Stegostoma tigrinum: one gene and its partners. The protein of the gene in region 2 interacts with the protein of the main gene of each other region in a biochemical or structural test. Links are inferred from orthologs where the notes say so. Each region holds a gene or a part of one and is shown on either strand. Other genes may lie near its edges.

Region 1 (7,718 bases), on a different chromosome or scaffold from region 2:
TTGTTCGCTCCACACTCCCCTCCAACCCCACCACACCCGGCACCTTCCCCTGCAACCGCAGGAAATGCTACATTTGCCCCCACACCTCCTCCCTCACCCCTATCCCAGGCCCCAAGATGACGTTCCATATTAAGCAGAAGTTCACCTGCACATCTGCCAATGTGGTATACTGCATCCATTGTACCCAGTGTGGCTTCCTCTACATTGGGGAAACCAAGTGGAGGCTTGGGGACCGCTTTGCAGAACACCTCAGCTCGGTTCGCAATAAACAACTACACCTCCCAGTTGCAAACCATTTCCACTCCCCCTCCCATTCTCTAGATGACATGTCCATCATGGGCCTCCTGCAGTGCCACAACGATGCCACCCGAAGGTTGCAGGAACAGCAACTCATATTCCGCACGGGAACCCTGCAGCCCAATGGTATCAATGTGGACTTCACCAGCTTCAAAATCTCCCCTTCCCCCACCGCATCCCAAAACCAGCCCAGTTCATCCCCTCCCGCCACTGCACCACACAACCAGCCCAGCTCTTCCCCTCCACCTACTGCATCCCAAAACCAGTCCAACCTGTCTCTGCCTCCCTAACCTGTTCTTCCTCTCACCCATCCCTTCCTCCCACCCCAAGCCACACCTCCATCTCCTACCTACTAACCTCATCCCACCTCCTTGACCTGTCTGTCTTCCCTGGACTGACCTATCCCCTCCCTACCTCCCCACCTATACTCTCCTCTCCACCTATCTTCTTTTCTCTCCGTCTTCGGTCCGCCTCCCCCTCTCTCCCTATTTATTCCAGAACCCTCACCCCATCCCCTTCTCTGATGAAGGGTCCAGGCCCAAAACATCAGCTTTTGTGCTCCTGAGATGCTGCTGGGCCTGCTGTGTTCATCCAGCCTCACATTTTATTATCTTGGATTCTCCAGCATCTGCAGTTCCCATTATCACTTATAGAACTGGTGGGTTCAGTATATTGATCAACAAAATTCAAGAAGTGTTACTGTCTTCCTGATTTTCAAGTGCCAAACTTTGCAGCTGGAGAATGCCAATTTTCAGACCAACTAAAAGCCATTTCTTTGAAACACTACTTTAAAAGAGAGATCATTCAGAAAACCTCACGAAGGTATTACAAACAATATGAAAGTGAAAACCACAAGGTTTTCTGATATCTGGATTAGTTTCCTCACAGAAAAAAGCTGGCATCAGATCTGAACTGTGTGTATGCGAAGAAATTCATGGACCCAAGTGAAACTATGAGAGTTAGATGTGGTGATAATGGGAACTGCAGATGCTGGAGAATCCAAGATATCAAAGTGCGGAGCTGGATGAACACAGCAGGCCAAGCAGCATCTCAGGACCACAAAAGCTGACGTTTCAGGCCTAGACCCTTCATCAGAGAGGGTCTAGGCACGAAACGTCAGCTTTTGTGCTCCCGAGATGCTGCCTGGCCTGCTGTGCTCATCCAGCTCCACACTTTGTTATCACAGTTAGATGGAGTGCTTTGTATGTAAATATCATCATCACCTTCTGAGGTATCCATGTCACGGAAATGTCAGCAGTGTTTTGACAATCAACAAATGGCAACATAATGGCCAAAGCTGAGGCATTTTTGTTCAAACAAAACAAGCAGTAACAAATAACAAATCTTTGCATTTCTGTGGCAATATTGTCACTCAGAGCTTTACCAAACAAAACTTAATGCCGAACCATTCTCAGGAAATCTTTGGAAAGGATCAGTTTTGTAGGAGTAAAACTATTCTGAAAAGGAGGAAAGATAATAGGCCCGAAACGTCAGCTTTTGTGCTCCTGAGATGCTGCTGGATCTGCTGTGTTCATCCAGCCTCACATTTTATTATCTTGGATTCTCCAGCATCTGCAGTTCCCATTATCACTGAAAGGAGGCAGGCTGGATTCAAGAGTCAACTCTCTTTCTCTGGCCACAGATGCTGCTAGAGCTGCTGAGTTTCCCAGTACTTTGAATTTTTATTTCAGATTTCAAGCATTTGCAGTATTTTGCCTGCATTTCAATTTCAAGCGGTGTCTTCGGGGAGCAACAAGAAATATGCAAATATTTAGGTTGGTGGTGGTGGTTAAAGCTGGGAGATAGATTTTCAGAGCTTCAGGTGGTTCAGTTGTTTTCTTCTGGATGAGACTTTAAACTCAGAATACCCGAGGTGGAGGGAAAAAAAATCCCACTGCACTAACTGAAAGAACTGGGCTGTCCTCGAACAAACATATCCCTTGACCGACACAACGAAAAAAGAACAGATTCTCCGTTCCTAATCAGGGTACTGCATGTAAGGTCTTGTTGTGCAGAAACAGGCTGCACTGTTTCACACGAACAGCCAAACACTAGGTCATCTGCAGGTTGGGAAACGCTGTGTCTCCAAACGTTGGTCCATTCTTCCTCCTGACCATTTTGAGTTCTCTGAATGTTCTGTTATCAGGAGAGGTTTGCCAACAATGCTTCTCTGTGTCTTTCTGCGGGATCCGCCTTGGGACAACATGCAGACAGGAATATCCGACCCGGAACGAACTCTTCCTCATGTTGACAGTTCCGTTGTCAACAAACACAGAACCCCATTTGCTGAGCGGTGCGTAAATTTCGGGGCAAAGTATGAAAATAAAGACAAAAAATGTATCAGACGGCCGACGGCAGCTTATGTCATTCCATCAAGACAGTGACAGAGAGAGAGAGAGAGACCAAGAGTTGGCACGAAGCAAACATTGTATTTTTAGCACAAGCTGCCAGTGCAGAAAGAAAGAAAACTTGTCGCGAAGCAATTCCACCTGTTTCACCGCACAAACTCCCCTGCGAACAAAAATGTGCGAATTACAGCATGGGCACGTCCACAACAAGCTCGAAACACACGTAAAAATTGTGTTTTGAGTGCCAGACCACCACCCAGAGAAAACAAGGGCAGTTTACCTCATCATTTGTCCAGTACCGTTCAACAAAACCAACGGAGTTCACCGGCTGGGCGATACGCACAGCTTTGCAGCTTCGCGTGTAAAAGGCCCCCGCGCGCTCGACGCTTTTCGAAAGCAAAAAACAAGCGCACGCGCCACCCAAACACCAACGGTCGGCGGCAAATTCTCCCGCCCCTCCCCAACCCCTACGGCGCACCCGGCCTTCCTGTTGGCGAAGCTGTTGGAGGGGCTGGGCGCCGATTGGATGCCAGCGATGTCCGTCACCTTGGATCAGGCACGCCCTTCGCCGCGTCCGCCTGATTGTCCTAACCCTTCCAAACCAAAACGACGTATGGTGTTGGGCACGCGATGGTGGTGGTCTCAGCTGCGTTTGTCAAATCTTTGGATGGCGTGCGGCCCATGCACGGGATTTAAATAGTCGCAACCAACTTGATCTTGCCCCCCAATCAGCAAGACGTAACCAGCTGACTCTGAGCCAATCTCTTTTGGCTCTGGGGATGTGGGTTCTCTCAGTGTCCTGAGAGGAGGCATCACAAAGAGTCTGAGAAGTTTCTGAGTGAGCCCTCCCTGGGATTAGTGTATCAAATTCCCAGCCAGCAGTTCACCCAAAACTGAACATCTTCCGGTATCGGGGCCTGTTTTCCTGACTCAGATCAGCTTGATCAGCCCTTTCCAGCCTCTGCAGGAGTTCCTCAGGGGAGTGACCAAGGTCCAACCCATGGCTGCTACCTCGGTCACCCTTCTTCCATCATTAAATCAGAACCGGGGATGTTTGCTGATGACTGTACAAGGATAAGCGTCGTTCACAGATACTGAAGCAGTCCACATGCAGCAAGACCCAAACAATATCCACAATTGGACTGAAAAATGGCAAGTCACATTCACACCATGCATGAGTGGCAATAGTCAAGTTGAATAAGAGAAAATGTAGAGATCCTCACCATCTCTTCTTCACACTTAGTGGCATTAGCATCGATAAATTCTCTCCTTTTTCAATTCACACGTTGAATGTGCACTTTGCTGGCCAAATAAACATTTATTGCCCATTCCTAATTGCCATTGAGAAAATGGTGGTAAGGCAGCCCTCTGGTACTGCTGCAGTCCTTTCTTCCTCACTACCCTGAAGGGCTTGTACAGCGATGTTCTGGAGCAGAGGTGATTGATCCTCAACAACCACAACCATCCTCATTGTGCAAGCTATAACTCCAACCAACAGAGAGGTATTTCCTCCTGATTCTCATTGACTCCAATTCTGCTTGGACTCCTTGATACACCATTCAATCAAATGCAGCCTTGATGTCTCATGAAGTCAGTCACTTCTGCTCTGTGTTGAACTCTTTTGTCCAAGTTAGAAGCAAGGATGTTCTGACGCGAGGAACCACCTGGTGTGTAGAACTCAGGCTGAGCATCAGTCAGTGAGCAACCTATAAGCAACAACCTGACAAATCCAGTGGCTACAAAAGTAGGCCAGAAACTAGGAAATCTTCAGCAAGTAATTCACCTGTCTCCCCCATTGCTTGTTCATAATTTACAAGTCATGAACTCATCTCCAAATGCCTAGATGAGTGCATTACCAGTAACATTCATCATCAAGTGTAACTTGATCATCATCAAGATGGCAGCAGAGTAGGGCTCCTGAACTGGGGCTGATCCACTCTGACTGCTTTTCTTTTTACTTACCTCTTGTCTTGACTTCAAGTAATATTGACAGCGACAAGGAACCCCAGTGCAGACACAAGAGAGCCCAGGATGGACTTGAGTGAGCACAATGGGGACTCATGGTGCCAAGTGAGCCCAGCGGGGACCTCATGGCAGCAACAACTGAGTCATTACTTACAGAATCTGGCATCAGAATCGGTGGTTGCTATATTTGCAATAGGAAATATTGGGGACATAGGTCTAGTGGCAAAGATGCTGTCTGAAGAATGGCAACTTCAACAGTGTTTGGGTCGAGTGTAGACAGCAGCAAAGCAGTGGAGGAGGAGGAACAGCGCAAGTGTCATTGATGATGAGCTGGCTCAGGATTGATGGACTTTGGTTAAGCTGTCATCTTTTTCTTATTCTTAAAACTACTCAAAATAGCACTGTATTGTAGTATCATTGGAAAAGATTTGGACTGTATTTTACTGTTCTCACTGGAAAATACAGGTGACAACAAAATCATTCATTCATTCATTCACGAGACAAGCTAGGACAAAGCAGCCAGTTTAATCAGCGCTCCGTCATGACTTTCAACATTCACTCCCTCTAGCATCAACACGCAGTGACATCAGTGTGTGGCATGTAAAAGATACACTGCAACAGCTTACCAAGGCACCTTCGAAAGCAACAGCACTCATAAAGATAATGAATTTCCCGGTTGCATATCCAAAAAGAGCTGAACCTTGAGACAGTAAGTTATTTGTGTTGCGGATGGAGGGTTTCAGGGTCGTGGTGTGGGTTGCAGGGAGTGGATGGTAGAAGAGGGTTGGAGACAAGGCTTGTGAGTATAGTTTACAGCAGGAAGTGACTGCTCCCCTTCAATGTCCCCTCTCAGAATGGCAAAATGAAGGAACTTTCCATCTCCCAAACCCAGCAGGCACACTGCCCCCGTTTCCCAGTCAGGAACTCCCTACATTTGTTGTTCACTTGCTGCAGGTAAGCAGGTCAGTGGAGGTTGAATACCTTAAGCCCTTAATTGAAACCCTTAATCAAGAAGGACCTTCTCACCCAGAAATTATTTGCTGAAGTGGCAAAAAGTGACCCATTTATTTATTCTTCTCACCATGTTCCATGACATCTCCAGGGAAGGGATATTTGCATCATTAATAACCATTCTTCACCATTTCCTGGTCAATTCCCTCTGTCAGCACCATAGGTGTACCTGCATCCCCGAGTACTGGAGTGATTCAAGAGGCAGCTGACCACCACTTTCCCTGGGGCAATTAGAAATGAACAATAAATACTGACCTGGCTAACAAGGTCCACATTCCACAAATGAAGAATTAAGAAACAAACTTCTGGGCTAAAGAGTGGATTTTTCACTGAAATATAGTCTTGATATTCTGGAGGCGCAGAAGATGAGAGACACACAAGTTAATACATTCCTAAGCCTGAATTGTACCAGTTGCAGAAATAATATGCTGTCTGATAAAGGAGCTGTACTCAATGGTGTATCAGCAGAATTCATGTTCACAGAGGTAGAGGCAAAGTTCATTCAATTACTTCTTTTTAATGTTGATTATTTTTAATCTTATTTTGGAGTAAACATGTAAGAGAGAGATATGCCACGTCCAACTGAGACCTGAAGGAGAAAAATTAAGCAGCTTTGAGTAAACACCTGAAAGCCAAGTAGAATTTTCTCATCTCAACAGACATTTAGCTTTCAGATTGTTTCATATGACCTGCCAAATATAGTTTGAGTCAGAAAAATATCACTTCTTGAATCTTTGACTCACTCACAGAACCTATTAAATAAAAGACTACATATCCTGGAGTGTCTTTGCTTGTTACAAAATTAATTTGAAGATGTAACACAACCATTTGATCCATTGTACTGTTGAGGGATTACACTCCAAAAGCTGTCCCTTAATGGGACACTGTGTTCAACCAAGGTTGCAACAGATTGGTGTTGGATCACTAAAAAGAAGACATTATCCTAATCATGCAGAGTTATCGATTTAACCCCAGAACAGCTCTCAATCACAAACTGCTGGAGCACCAAAAGGATGGATTTCATTTAAACTGTTGTGAATAACGTCAGAATTAGAATGGAAACTGTTGTACAATATTAAGATGTCATGATGCTGACAAGATAGATATCTAGTTGGTTTATTGAAAGACTATGGTGGCCACTGGTGTAGAATTGTGGCAATGAGACAAATAAAAAACATAATATGGCGTAAAATTATTAATCTGTATTACAAGCCACTAGGGTAGCACTTTGCAAATTGAATCCCACTACTCCTAAAGTCATACAAAAGATTATAGATTTTGTTAAAGAACACACAGTTCCCCAATTTATCTGACTTTCAAACCAAGGATGACAGAAAGCATGAGCCAGGTTTCTGTACTGAACAAGGATTGTTATTCATTGCAAATGATTGGTATAGAACATAGAACATAGAACAGTACAGCACAGAACAGGCCTTTCAGCCAACAATGTTGTTCCGACCATTGATCCTCATGTATGCACCCTCAAATTTCTGTGACCATATGCATGTCCAGCAGTCTCTTAAATGACCCCAATGACCTTGCTTCCACAACTGCTGCTGGAAACGCATTCCATGCTCTCACAACTCTCTGTGTAAAGAACCCGCCTCTGACATCCCCTCTATACTTTCCACCAACCAGCTTAAAACTATGACCCCTCGTGCTAGCCATTTCTGCCCTGGGAAATAGTCTCTGGCTATCAACTCTATCTATGCCTCTCATTATCTTGTATACCTCAATTAGGTCCCCCTCCTCCTCCTTTTCTCCAATGAAAAGAGATCGAGCTCAGTCAACCTCTCTTCATAAGATAAGCCCTCCAGTCCAGGCAGCATCCTGGTAAACCTCCTCTGAACCCTCTCCAAAGCATCCACATCTTTCCTATGAACATATATAAACTACCCCTTACACACTTATACAAATAAAATTTGGAAAATAGATTATTGGCAGAGATGGAAAACTGGAAAGTCAGCTCAGTGGTCTCGGCTTCCCAGTTCCGATGTTGAGATAATCCTTCTTTGGCTTTCCAGGTTGTTGATACTCATTTGTCCTCTCTGAATATTTCTGCTCGTTTGTAAATGGCAGAGTGGACAGTTCAAGTGG
Region 2 (7,001 bases):
AATATAGAAAATAAGAACAGGGGTAGATCATTCAGTGCTTCAACATAATTATGTCCAATCAGCCAACTCGGTAGACTGTTCCCTCTTTCTCCCCATACTATTTGATCCCTTTAGTCCTATGAATGTATCTAGTTCCTTCTTGAAAACTTTTCATGTCCCAACGTGTACCAAATTTGATTCGACTGTAACCTTTGTGCATGCTAGCCCGCATAGGTTTCTGCTTTTTAAATTCTTATCCTTGTTTTTAGATCCCTCCTTCATCTCATTGCTCCCTAGCTCTGTAATCTCCTCCCATTCTCCAAAGAGCGCAACCTCCAATTCTTATCTCTTGAGCACTTAAAATTTTCATCACTCCATCACTGATGATTGTGTATCCATTACCAAGATCATAAAACTTTTTTTTCATTCATTCATAGGATGGGCATGTCATTGGCTGGGCCAGCACTTATTGCCCATCCCTAATTGCCTTTGAGAAGGTGGTGGTGAATTGGCTTCTTGAACTGCTGCATTTCATTTGGTTAGTTATACCCACAATGCTGTCATGCGCGCAATTTTAGGATTTTGGCCCAGCGACATTGAAGAATTGGCATTATATTTCCAAGTCAAGATGGTGAGTGGCTTAGAATGGAACTTACAGGTGGTGGTGTTTCATGTACCTTCTGTTGATGCCCTTCCAGGTGGTAACATTTGTGAGTCTGGAAGATGTTATCTAAGGAGCCTTGGTGAGCTACTGTAGTGCATCTTGTTGATGGTACACACCACACTTACTGAGCATCGGTGATGGAGGAAGTGAATATTTGTGGATGTGGCACTATTGAAGCAGGCTGCTTTGTTCTGGATGGTGTTAAACTTATTGAGTGTTGCTGAAGCTGCACTTTTCCAGATAAGTAAGGAGTAATCCATTGCATTCCCGTTTTATGCTTTAGAGGTGGTAGGCAGGCTTCCCTCCAGGGAGTCAGGAAATGAGTTGCTGCAGGATTGCCAGCCTCTGACCTATTCTTGGAGCTACAGTATATGTGTGGCTACTCAAATAAAAGCAAAATATTTCAAATGTTGGAAATTTGAAATAAACAGAAAATCCTGGAGAAACTCAGCAGGTCTGGCAGCATCTGTGGAGGGAGAGCAACAGATTTAAAGTTTCGAATAAAATATCATCATCAAATCCCTACAGTGTGAAAGCAGGCCATTCCCATCAAGCCCACACCACCACCCCAAACAGCAATCCCACCCTGACCTACCCCATCCCTGTAACTCTGCTTTTCCCATGTCTAACCCACCTAGCCTGCACATCCCTGGACACTATAGAACAATTTAGCATGGCCAATCCACTTAACTTGCACATCTTTGGACTGTGGAAGGAAACCCAGCCAGACACAGAGAGAATGTGCAAACTCCACACAGACAGCCAAATGAAGGTGGAATCAAACCTGGGTCCAACACACTGAGGCAGTAGTGCTAACCACTGAGCCATCATGCCATCCTCTGTTCTGAAGAAGAGTAATATTAGACTTGAAACATTAACTCTATCTCTGTTTCAACAGATGCTGCCAAACCTGGTGATTTTCTCCAGCATTTTCTGCTGTTATTTATAAGGGTAGTCGAGTTCACTTTCTGGTCAAAGTTAACCTCCAGGATGGTTATGTTTCCTCCCTAAATCACATATTTCCCCTCTTTCCTGCTTTAAGACAATCCTTAAAATCTACTTAATATCTCTCGTACATTTCTATGTGTAGTTTGTTACTACATTTTGTTTGATATACACCAGAAAAATTATGTTGGATAACTTAGTGCAGTAAAGGTACTAATAAATTAATGTTGCCATGTTTTTTTTATTCATTCACAGGATGAGGGTGTTGCTGGATATGCCGCATTTATTGCCCATCCCTAATTGCCCAGAGGGCAGTTAAGAGTCAACACATTGCTGTGGGTCTGGAGTCACGTGTAGGCCAGACCAGGTAAGGATGGAAGATTCCTTCCCTAAAGGTTTATTCATGTATAATCAATTACATATCGAAACCGTATTGAAAGATTGGTTGTGTAGTTAGAAAATTGCCTCAGTTAAACATTTAAACATAATCAACAATAGGTACTGGCTCAGTAGCTTTCTTTAAAATGACAATTGTGGCCCAAGAAGTCTGTACTGGCAAAGATATACTAAATCGTCACTTTCCAGCACTAAAGGTATTGTAATAACTATGTAGTTATATATCATAATATGCACTTGTTTTAAGGCTGTTCTGTGTTCAATCATATTTAATTTCAAACTTATTGCATGGAAGTTGACATTTTAAAAAGTGCAAGTCAGCATCTCTTTACAACAACGTCATAATAGTAGCTTGGATTCATACTGATCTCTATTTTAGCAGAGATGAAAGCAGTATTGGACCTAGAAAATCTTTGGAGTAATTGAATCTGAAGATGACAGTGGTGTGAACAAGAGTTTCAGCAGAAATTTCCTTTTTGACTTGACCAGCGTGTAAATGGATTACATAATGAATTGGAAGTAGATGTCTTTCTGACAGAAGGAAGATACGTTGAAAGCTCAGTCCAGCAATGAATAGGATAATAAGGGTCTAAACAGTCTGATAAACCACGAGACAGTTACAGTAGCTCACTGGAGTTGCACTATTAATTGTCACATTAACACATTATTTTCTTCATTATATCTCAAGAAAGTAGCAAATATAATCAATCAAAATGGTGGATGCTGTAAATCAGGAACAAAAACAGAAGTTGCTGGAAAAGCTCAGCAGGTCTGGCAGCATCTGTGAAGGGTCACTGGACCCGAAATGTTAACTCTGATTTTTTTCTTCACAGATGCTGCCAGACCTGCTGACGTTTTCCAGCAACTTCTGTTTTTGTAGCAAATATAATCATTTTATTCAAGAAGGAGAAAGGCTGTATGTAGACCAAGTAACGTGACATCTGATATCTGGAAGGCATTGGAATTATGAAAGGGATTATACCTTAGAAAAACATGAAGTAGTCAGCAAGAGTCAACATCATTTCATCAAAGAGAAATCATGTTTAGCCAATTTGTTGGAGTTCTTTGATGGAGTTCCATGGTCTGTGGATAATTGTAAACCTGCAGATGAGCTGGACTTGGATTTCCAGATGGCATTTGATAAGGTGGCACATAAATGGTATTTGCAGAAAATAAAAACTCATGGTGTGTAATGCATTGATAGAAAACTGACTGGTTGGCAGAAAATAAACAGTATGCATAAATAGGGCTTGGATGTGATAAGTCTTCCAGGTCAAATCCTGGTCTTTGCCTGAGCCTAAATTCATCAGATCCCAATCTTTCATCTACATGGCCCAGTTCAATTATCTTCTCTTCTTGATCTAAACTGATTTACTGGCATACCACAAGGAATTGACTAACGTTCTGTGCAATTGAGAATTTTAAATGTTTACTTAGATAAGAAATTTAAAGTATTAGACAAAAAGTTTGATGGGGGCAGCAAAATTATTTGGAATAGATTTGTTTTTTCAATGAGGAACCGTTTAAAAGCAACAGTACAACTGCAAACAAATGCAAAATGCCGTAGATGCTGGAAATCTGAAATAGAAACTGAAAATACACGTAATACTCAACAGGTATGAGTTCTACACCTGAGTCCAGAGTGGACAATGTGATGCGCCGAGGTTCCCAGCGCAAGGCGTCAAATTCACTTTGAAAAGCGGAAAATGGTGCCAATACTCAGCGGTTCAGGGCTGATTATAACTGAAAGGCTGGCGTATCTGCCCTCTCCACCTATACTGATTGACCTGAGTGTGTCCTCAGCATTTTCCGTTCGTGATCAGATTTCCAGCACATGCTTTTTAAAAAACATATATAAATGGTCTTTAGCGTGTTCAGCTGCTCAGTTGGACTCTCTGAACAAGCCAGAGACGGACACAATGATGTTATAATTGTTTTTTTGTGCGTGTCAGGGTGGTTGTTTCGACCGACAGCTACAAGACACTCTCATTTCCAAACATGCCGAGGTAAGCTAACAGGATGGAGTGGTCAAATGACCTCGGTGGAATTTCACTTGCTATTTGCAGTGCAGTGTCCCTAAAGCCTGGCAACAGGCTGACGATGGCTGTAAATCCACTATCTTATTTCAACTGTCTGACGTCATCCAAACTCACATTTCTTAACGTTGGAAGAGCAGAGAGAAAACTTTAATGTACTTTGCAAATTAATTTACCAAACACTACACCTTTCTCTGACTCATTTGTCTTCGGTGTGAGGGAGACTTTTATTGTTCTATGTCCGTCTCCAAGGGTCTGAGGAACTTTTTGGTGTTTATGCTCCTCTCACGAAAAGCAATGCATCTTTTCCAGTGCCCGTGACCTGATAGTTGCTTCTCTTTAGACCGTGTGTGAGTGCCGGAGCAGGTATTTAGCTCCCATTCAATGGGGTGGGGGAGGCGAGTTTGCAGACTCGCGCAAATGGTTTGAGAGGACGACCGTTCTCCTGCATTGGAATCGCGAATATCCTAGCTCTTCCGGCATCCTGCACGCAGGGCTGCGATGTGAACGGAGCCTGTGATCGCAGCAGTTGGCCAGAGTGTGTGGGAACCAGTGTGCAAGTGGGGGAATATGATGATGTCAGCGGGCGACAACTTTCTCGCTTAGTTATGGCGGAGGTCAACTTGAGAGAGTTGGCCAACCTTCGGATCTCCAACACGGCAGCGGGGATCGGCGCCGAGTCCTCACCCGGCTCCCTCGACCTTTAAAGGGACAGCGATCGGTGAAAGTGTGAGTGCGGTTGGGTGCACTGGGAAAGGGTTAAAGCCGCCGTTTGTTCCCTCTTGTCTGGTTTTATTTTGTTGTTGGTTGCTGCGGGTGGCTGTCCCTCTTTGCAGGAGGGCCCAAAGCGTCGAGCTTGTAGGCCGGTCCCAAAAATATCTGTTTTCTTTTAAGTTTTCCTTCCCCACCTTCCTCGACCCGAAAAGACTGCTCGGCGTAAGGCCGTTTCCCTCTTGGCGGTAACACGCAGCGACCATTGTAGAAGTTGTGCACACATTGTGCAGTCTGTCTGAGTGCCCAGGGTCAGCGCGATTGCTTTCGCCTCTGTTACACTAACTCGATCTATTGTGCGCTTCACATCTTTTCAAAATCCACCGAGTTCGGAGGAGGTAGTGCTGGTGGCGGTGGCGGGGCGGGGGTAGGAGGTGGTGGTTGGACCAAGTAAACTCAGAATATTTCGAGGGGCACAGAGACAGAGAGAGACAGAGAGAGAAAATAAAAATGGTCTGGTTCGCCCACACGATATTTATTCGAGCAAGAACACCGTCAACACACGCCGGGGTTTCATTCGGTTGAAAAATCCAAACACCTCGCCAGTGACTCCACTCCAGAGGGTTGTCACTCTCGCTAACTAATCTGCCGTGTGACTGTGAGAAGGTTTACTTGTTTCAAGTGAGCGGAGAGAATTCTCACGTGTACGATTCAGAAAGCATTCACGCGTGTCCTGAATGACACACAGGCACGATGGTGGTGGTCTGTGACTGTATGTGTGAGTGTCTGTCTGTACGTGGTTTGGGCTGGGTTTGGTGGTGGGTGGGGTTGCGAATTTTCACCCAACTCTTAGGCAAGTGGTTCTGTCGTGCGAGGCTTCCAAAAGGGGGAAACACCCATTCTGGAAATAAACTCCAGACGTAGAGATCCTTTCGTACTAATCGATCATTAACTGAAGTCTTTGGATGTAAACCTGGATCAAACAGATCGAAGCATGATAATGGCAGTGCGGTATCATTCTTTCGATCACTAGGAGCCAGACTTCCTTGAAACTGCCGAAATAGCTCTAAGCTTTTTTTTTAAGTTGAAGGCAGTTCAGTCAGCAGGCCCACAAAACATTACACCAGTGTAAATTCTACACTTATTCTATCCACTTATGCAGAATCCCTCTCGCATGCTGTCGATTCACACATTTTTATATAAAACAACACATTGCTGTTTGTTGTTGTATCCAGTTTAATATGTTTAAAAATAGGTAAATATTACCTCCAGTTTCAGGCAGTTTGCTGATAATTGGCTACCAGCACTTTCTCCTGCGTAGCATTGCTTGCAATTGAGATTTTGATATTTGGTAAATGTATTTTTCTGGTATTTACACTATAAAATTGAAGGTAACACAGTAAACATTGAGGCACACATAAAATTAAGTGGAAACTCATTTGAGATTGAGAAGAGTGTACCTTTTATTTTGTGAACTGGAAGTACAAAAATATAAATCTCCCAGAACTGACCCAAACCTGTCCTTGGTCTTCAGTTTTGGGAATCATTTAGAGTGTCTGTGTTGATTCACATATCTGTTTGATAAGACACTCAGGATGTAACACTGAAAAGTATGGTGTCATGTGACTACCACAGTGATGATTCTGATTTTTGTCTGTAGTGATCCCTGGGGGCACCTTTCTAAATGGATGTGGGAATATTGTGCGCCATAGTACACAATGGACTATCTCCCTACCACTCCTACGATTATTTGTGGGGTTGAACAAGAAAACATTTTGTAATTGGGATGTTTTATTTGTGAATGAAATATCAACAATCTTTCATAACATTATATATCAGACCAGGAAATGTTGGAGGACTATACAAAGAGATCCACTGTGTTTTGTGCTGTTGATCTGGCAAGCAATCTGTACACAACAGCCTAAAATACACCACCAATTCTGATGCTGTCCTTGCTTAAATATGTGAGAATGGAACTGCAGAAAGACTGGTATTTCTTTGTGTGACCCTATGAATAGGAGTTACATAAATTTGCATTCAGTTACTGTTCTGTGAATAACGACCCATAAACAACAGTCACTGTTTATGCTGGTACAGCCTTGGGTAGGTCAATTGTAGAAATAAGGTCACACTGGGAAAGACTTATCTAGATCTTGACACATAACAGGTAAACAATGCAGGAATTTGGATGTTTGTAGGAGTACTTATTTCACCATAGGTGGTAACTACTGCATACATAAAATACATAGAATATAAATAGAACGTGGTAT
Region 3 (7,203 bases), on a different chromosome or scaffold from region 2:
TTGGGTAACTCAGGGAGAGGAACGGCTGCTGGAGGTTCTGGGATTTAGATGCTCTAAAAGAAATAGGGTGAGGGGAAAAAGAAACGGGGCAGTTGCACTGCTAGCCAGGGCTAATATAGCAGCTACTGAAACACAGTTCGAGAATGATATGTCGAGAGAGTCAGTTTGGTTTGAGGTCCAGAACAACAAAGGAGCAGTCACTTTGTTGGGGTTTTTTTTAAAAACAGATCCCCCTAATAGTTGTAGAGAAGTGGAGAAGCAGATTGGGAGGCAGATACTGGAAAGGTGCAGAAGTCACAGGGTTGTAACCACGGGTGACTTCAACTTTCCAAATATTGATTGGAAACATTTTAGTTGTAATAGTTTAGATGGAGCGGATTTTGTCCAGTGCTTTCAAGAAGGATTCCTGACACATTATGTAGATAGACCAACACAAGGAGAGGGCAAGATAATAAAATGTGAGGCTGGATGAAGACAGCAGGCCCAGCAGTATCTCAGGAGCACAAAAGCTGACGTTTCGGGCCTAGACCCTTCATCAGAGAGGGGGATGGGGTGAGGGTTCTGGAATAAATAGGGAGAGACGGGGAGGCGGACCGAAGTTGGAGAGAAAAGAAGATAGGTGGAGAGGAGAGTATAGGTGGGGAGGTAGGGAGGGAATAGGTCAGTCCAGGGAAGACGGACAGGTCAAGGAGGTGGGATGAGGTTAGTACGTAGGAGATGGAGGTGCGGCTTGGGATGGGAGGAAGGGATGGGTGAGAGGAAGAACAGGTTAGGGAGGCAGTGACAGGTTGGACTGGTTTTGGGATCCAGTGGGGGGGAGAGCTGGGCTGGTTGTGTGGTGCAGTGGGGGGAGGGGACGAAGTGGGCTGGTTTTGGGATGCGGTGGGGGAAGGGGAGATTTTGAAGCTGATGAAGTCCACATTGATACCATTGGGCTGCAAGGTTCCCAAGCGGAATATGAGTTGCTGTTCCTGCAACCTTCGGGTGGCATCATTGTGGCACTGCAGGAGGCCCATGATGGACATGTCATCTAAAGAATGGGAGGGGGAGTGGAAATGGTTTGCAACTGGGAGGTGCAGTTGTTTATTGCGAACCGAGCGGAGGTGTTCTGCAAAGCGGTCTGCAAGCCTCCGCTTGGTTTCCCCAATGTAGAGGAAGCCACACCGGGTACAGTGGATGCAGTATACCACATTGGCAGATGTGGAGGTGAACCTCTGCTTAATGTGGAAAGTCATCTTGGGGCTTGGGATAGGGATGAGGGAGGAGGTGTGGGGGCAAGTGTAGCATTTCCTGCGGTTGCAGGGAAAGGTGCCGGGTGTGGTGAGGTTGGAGGGCAGTGTGGAGTGAACAAGGGAGTCACGGAGAGAGTGGTCTCTCCGGAAAGCAGACAGGGGTGGGGATGGAAAAATGTCTTGGGTGGTGGGGTCGGATTTTAGATGGCGGACGTGTCGGAGGATGATGCGTTGTATCCGGAGGTTGGTGGGGTGGTGTGTGAGAACGAGGGGGATCCTCTTTGGATCCCATAACCAGCCCAGCTTGTCCCCTCCCCCCACTGCACCACACAACCAGCCCAGCTCTTCCCCTCCACCCACTGCATCCCAAAACAAGTCCAACCTGTCTCTGCCTCCCTAACCTGTTCTTCCTCTCACCCATCCCTTCCTCCCACCCCAAGCCGCACCTCCATCTCCTACCTACTAACCTCATCCCACCTCCTTGACCTGTCTGTCTTCCCTGGACTGACCTATCCCCTCCCTACCTCCCCACCTATACTCTCCTCTCCACCTATCTTCTTTTCTCTCCATCTTCAGTCCGCCTCCCCGTCTCTCCCTATTTATTCCAGTTCCCTCTCCCTGTCCCCCTCTCTGATGAAGGGTCTAGGCCCGAAACGTCAGCTTTTGTGCTCCTGAGATGCTGCTGGGCCTGCTGTGTTCATCCAGCCTCACATTTTATTATCTTGGATTCTCCAGCATCTGCAGTTCCCATTATCACTGATACAAGGAGAGGGCATTTTGGATTTGGTGCTTCACAATGAACTGGGCCGAACGTGAGATCTGTTGGCAGGAAAGCATTTCGGCAGTAGTGATCATAACTCTGTTAATTTTACAATACTCATGGAAAAGGATAGGTACATACAGCAGAGTAAGGTTTATAATTGGGGTGGGGGGAGAAGGGTAATTACAATTCCGTTAGGCAAGAACACGGTAACTAAATTGAGAACAGATGCTGTCAGGGAAGAGCACTATCGAAATGTGGAGATTGTTTATGGAATGCATACAGCGTGTGCTCGATGTGTTTGCCCCTGGCAGTAAGGGAAGACGCGGTCACGTGAAGGAGCGCTGGTTCTCATGAGAGGTCGAATGTCTGGTTAAGAGGATGCTTATGTAAGGATTAGGAAACAAGGATTGGAAAAGGCTCTAGAGGGATACAAGTTTTCCAGGAAGGAGCTGAACAAAGAGCTTAGGAGAGCTATAAGGGGGCATGAGAAAACCTTGGTGGATAGGATCAAGGAAAACTTCAGGCCTTTTTACACATACGTGAGAAATAAGAGAACGACCAGAGAAAGGGTAGGGCCAATCAAGGATTGTAAAGGGAATTTGTGCACAGAGCGTAAAGAGATCGGAGAGGTCCTGAATGAATACTTTTCTTCGATATTCACAACTGAGAGGGACCCAGTTGTAGAGGAGTACAGTCTGAAACAGGCTGGTAGGCTAGAGGAGATCGATGTTGGTAAGGAAGATGTACCAGGAATTTTGAGGGAGTTGAAAATAGATAAGTACCCCAGGACTGATGGGATTTATCCAAGGATTCTATGGGAAGCAAGGGAAGAGATCACAGGGCCTTTGGCGATGATCTTTTCACCCTCACTGTCCAAGGATATAGTGCCGGATGATTGGAGAGAGAGAAACAACATTCCCTTGTTCAAAAACGGGAATAGGGATAACCCTGGAAATTACAGGCCAATTACTCTTACGTCAGTGATGGGCAAATTATTGGAAAGGGCTCTGAGATATAGGATTTATGATCACTTGGATAGGCACAACTTGATTTGTGATAGTCAGCATGAATTTGTGAGGCGTAGATCTTGCCTCACAAACCTTATTGAATTCTTTGAAGAGGTTATCAAACACGTGGATGAAGGTGGAGCAGTGGATGTGGTATACATGGTTTTAAGTAAGGTGTTTGATAAGGTTCCCCATGGTAGGCTTTTGCAGAAGGTAAGGAGGCATGGGATAGGCGGAAATGTGGCAGATTGGATTCAGAATTGACTGACCCTAAGAAGGCAAAGGATGGCAGTGGATGGAAAATATTCAACATGGTGCTCAGTTATGAGTGGTGTACCACAAAGACCTGTCCTGGGTTCTCTTCTGTCTGTTGCTCTGACTTTTAGAAGGGGAGCACAATGGCTCGGGGGTTGGCACTGCTGCCTCACAGCACCAGGGACCCAGGTTCAATGCCAGCCTCAGGTGACTGTGTGGAGCTTGCACATTCTTCCTGTGTCTGAGCGGGTTTCCTTCGGGTGCTCCGGTTTCCTTCCATAGTCCAAAGATATGCAGGCTAGGTGGATTGCCCATACTAAATTGTCCATAATAACCAGGGATGCGCACACTTGGTGGATTAGCCAATGGGAAATACAGGGTAACAAAGTGTGGAGCTGGATGAACACAGCAGGCCAAGCAGCATCTTAGGAGCACAAAAGCTGACATTTCGGGCCTAGACCTAAAATACAGGGTTACAGAGTTGGGTAAGGGCGTGGGTCTGAGTGGGATGCTCGTCGGAGGCTCGGTCCAGACTCGATGGGCCAAATGGCCTATTTCCACACTGTAAGGAATTCACTAAAGGGAGGGAATCAAATGAACTTCAATTCCCAGCAATCAGCGCGAGATGCGCGTGTTGGGTAGGGCTTGAGAACGGGGCGGGGTGAACAGACCAGCCGCCAGCGTTGCTGAGAAACCAACACTTGCCCTGCGCGCAGCCGGCACACTGAGGCATGGGAAGGCGGAGTGGGCGGGGAGATATATGATTGACGCACGTTTCAGCCAATCGATACGTGGAAGAAAACGTTAGGCCGGCGGGGTTAGTCCAATAGGCGGCGGTGAGGGGGTGGGTCCTGCCTGTTGGAAGGTTCCGGTTGAATCTGGTGAAGGGGAAAGGGGGCCGGAGCTGCGCCACTACGCGTTTAGAGAGCCCAAAAATAGCAAATACCTGACAGATCATACCTCAGTAGAACAGAAATTACCATTGATTGTGTTTTTTGTTGCTTTCTAAACTCCGTATTTCTTAAAAGAAATCCATGTAGATTAATTTATTGAGGTATTAAGTTCCCACCCCTCCCCCTACTTTTTTTCCTGGGGGGGTTGTCGGCCTGTAATTTGAATTCTTTTAAAAAGGAAATAACAACAGAAACATTTTTTAAAATATAAAAAAGTACTTTTTTTGGCTTGAACCTCGTTGTTAACATGCCACAACCGAAGTCCCGTAAGGTTGCGATATTAGGATACAGATCTGTGGGTGAGTAAAAAGCGTTTGGCACAGCCCAGCCTGTGCACTGAGTGAGCAGTTAACCCAGAGACGGCAGTGCTCTCATCATTTGCAAACATTCGTGCTTGTTCTGCAAGGTCTTGCAACCAGTTTTTATATAGCTGTGCATTGATATGGGGTTAGTAGAGACATCTTAACGTCATTATTACTTGTTATGGAAAATGCTCCAGCTCGATTTTTCTTTTAAAAAATGTTTCCACAAGCTTAGACGTTATTGCTTGTTACACAAGGTCTTGAGAGGAATTTTCATGTGTCTGTGAATAAGACACTGATCTGCATGGTCAGACTAAGACATTCCCGCTTGCTGTATGGAATTTTGTAGCTACGTATTATGTATCACTATTTTCATGAACTCGTTATTTGGGGCCGTTACACCTTTACAAGATCGTGTAATCTTCGCAAATTTGTGTAGGCTGAGCAGGAAGCTGAAAGACGTTGGTTGTTTTCGAAAATCTTGCAACTAGTTGTCCTATATCAGTATTTCCTTAATTTAATCATTTCATGACATTATTGCTTGATCCAGAATATTCCGCAACTGTTTAGATTGTATTTATACATTAGCATAAAACCAAAGATTAAATCTCTGGAATAACTAACCTCGTGTAATGGCTGACTTTCCTTCCTCCCTCAACCTTTACTTTGTTTTACCACGGAATGGTGGTTTGTTACTGGTTTTAGTAACTAATGTTGCTGCCAACAACTCTTAAAGTCTCTTCTCGATTTTAAAAAAACTTTATTAGATTAACTAGCCTTATGCTACGATTGACCATATTCTTTACCAGGATGGAGAACTTTTGTTTTGTATAGTGCGTCGGTGTGATGCATGTTAAATGTGTTTTTCTGGTTTGTTCCAGCGACGTTAATTCACAAAGGAATTCTCTAGGAAACCTAACCCCACGTAATGACTGTCCTTTTACTTCCCCTCCCCCATTCGTTAGCTTTGTTTTAGCTTTTCAGTGACAGCTGGTAGAGAAATAAGCGTTATTACGGTGTGTTTCTTGGAATTTCTGTTTGTGGAGTGCCTTTTAATAAAATATTACAGACTGTAATCGGTAATTTTTGTTTTAAAAGTAGTTTTCTCTGCAAATGTTAACATTGCATAACTACTTTGCGACGTAAATTTCGACTTAAACGTGGTTGGATACACGAGAGGCAATTAGTTCAGTGAAACCTGGTGGATTCGGCTTTTTAAATAGCCGTTCCTTACGGTAAATGGGCCTTTTACCATCGCTCAATGTCGCAATGGCAGATTTTACCCTTTAATTTTAGTCATCTATTTCAGTGTATTATGTTGCGTTAATTTAGTGATGCAGTTTGAACAATGAAGGTTGTTTTACAACAAGTCATTTACCTGAGGGAAAAATGCATTTATGTAATCTGTGCAGGATTTCAATTTTAGATTATTAGTATGTTGGGATTTAATACCAAGCTATTAAAGGTTTAGAAACATAAATTTAAGCAGTGATACTGTCAGCAGAAATAAATGCCTTGATGCATTAAAGCTGAACAGCCAGGAGGATTTTGCTGCAGTTTTCTAATGTTTCAGGCTATCCAGATATCGGCTGCTATCTAAATGTTTATGATCATAGCAATAGATTATTGCCTAATGCAGCAATTGCCTTGCTAATGTTGTGATTCATTTTGGAGCACCCCATGTTTGGCATGCTTTCTGGATGTGGACATAGCAAATGGACTACTTTGAGGGTTATGACTTCTTTTGGTGTATTTTTGGAATCATGAGCCCTTTCTAGCTAAGGAACGTTGTATAGCATATTACCCTTGGAATTCTGTGGCTTTGAAATGTAAACGTTTTTCTGTTGCTGAAAAATTCCTAGCACTTGCATGGAACAGATTAATTCAGTTAGGACCTGGTCATTTTTGCAATTGTGCAGGTTGCCTTGATGAATTTAAACAAATTTAAGCAGTGTTTTTACAAGTATTTCATAGCAAAACAATTTCAACTAAATAGTAAAATAATGGTAAATGCGAGTATGTAAAATCAAGGCCATTGACATGACACTGATAAAATAGCCTGTTTTGCTCAGTGTGTAGTGTCATTCCAGTCCTGAGTTGCGTTATGTCTGTGAAATGTACTCCAACGTGTTGTTGTCATCATACACACAGGTTTTTAAAAAAAAAATTAGCCTGTATTTGTGTATTAGAGTGGGCAGACAGAACAAGCTCTGACAATTGAACCATGATTGGAATCAAAGCTGTGTTGATTTTGTCATTTGGATTATATTGAAAGTGAAATTTCATGTGGCACGTTGCAGTATCAGTGTTCAATCTAATAATCAGGCTTCTGTGGTTCACCTATGGTGTGGCTAACACCAGTTCGCTGTAAACTTACACTAGTTGGAGAATCTTGTATTACTTACAACTAGCTCTCTTTTCAGAATCTTACAGATCTTTTAAAGTAAAGTATTCCTAACTTTTGGGCATTAGCTTGGGCCATCTGGATGTTTAGTTTTTGCCATTGCTTTGACGACACATACTTCATTGCCCTTGCAATAAAGGCCAGTATTCTATAGATCTTCCTAATCATTTATATCACGAAGTTAACATGCACCTATGTCATAAGGGCATCCACAAACTGCATACTGCAGTGTCTGCAAACACTGCATTTAAATATTCTTCATTTCTTCTGTTCTTCCTGTCAAAGTG

Evidence for each region. The genes of interacting proteins can lie anywhere in the genome.
Region 1: the proteins of raf1b (region 2) and phosphatidylethanolamine-binding protein 4 form a complex in vitro, tested with the Homo sapiens proteins (2 studies listed by BioGRID). The link is inferred for Stegostoma tigrinum from reciprocal best matches to the Homo sapiens genes RAF1 and PEBP4.
Region 3: the proteins of raf1b (region 2) and rheb form a complex in vitro, tested with the Homo sapiens proteins (3 studies listed by BioGRID and IntAct). The link is inferred for Stegostoma tigrinum from reciprocal best matches to the Homo sapiens genes RAF1 and RHEB.

Annotation. Positions count from the first base shown.
Region 1 is NC_081393.1:4,634,510-4,642,227, forward strand, and holds the start of phosphatidylethanolamine-binding protein 4, read right to left. Parts: upstream 3,093-7,718; 5' UTR 2,934-3,092; coding exon 2,926-2,933; intron 1,561-2,925; exon of another isoform or gene 1,521-1,560; intron 1-1,520. UniProt on the Homo sapiens protein: Promotes AKT phosphorylation, suggesting a possible role in the PI3K-AKT signaling pathway.
Region 2 is NC_081364.1:25,156,093-25,163,093, reverse strand, and holds the start of raf1b (RAF proto-oncogene serine/threonine-protein kinase), read left to right. Parts: upstream 1-3,967; 5' UTR 3,968-3,982; coding exon 3,983-3,990; intron 3,991-4,136; exon of another isoform or gene 4,137-4,749; intron 4,750-7,001. UniProt on the Homo sapiens protein: Serine/threonine-protein kinase that acts as a regulatory link between the membrane-associated Ras GTPases and the MAPK/ERK cascade, and this critical regulatory link functions as a switch determining cell fate decisions including proliferation, differentiation, apoptosis, survival and oncogenic transformation.
Region 3 is NC_081355.1:146,855,561-146,862,763, forward strand, and holds the start of rheb (GTP-binding protein Rheb), read left to right. Parts: upstream 1-4,111; 5' UTR 4,112-4,457; coding exon 4,458-4,509; intron 4,510-7,203. UniProt on the Homo sapiens protein: Small GTPase that acts as an allosteric activator of the canonical mTORC1 complex, an evolutionarily conserved central nutrient sensor that stimulates anabolic reactions and macromolecule biosynthesis to promote cellular biomass generation and growth.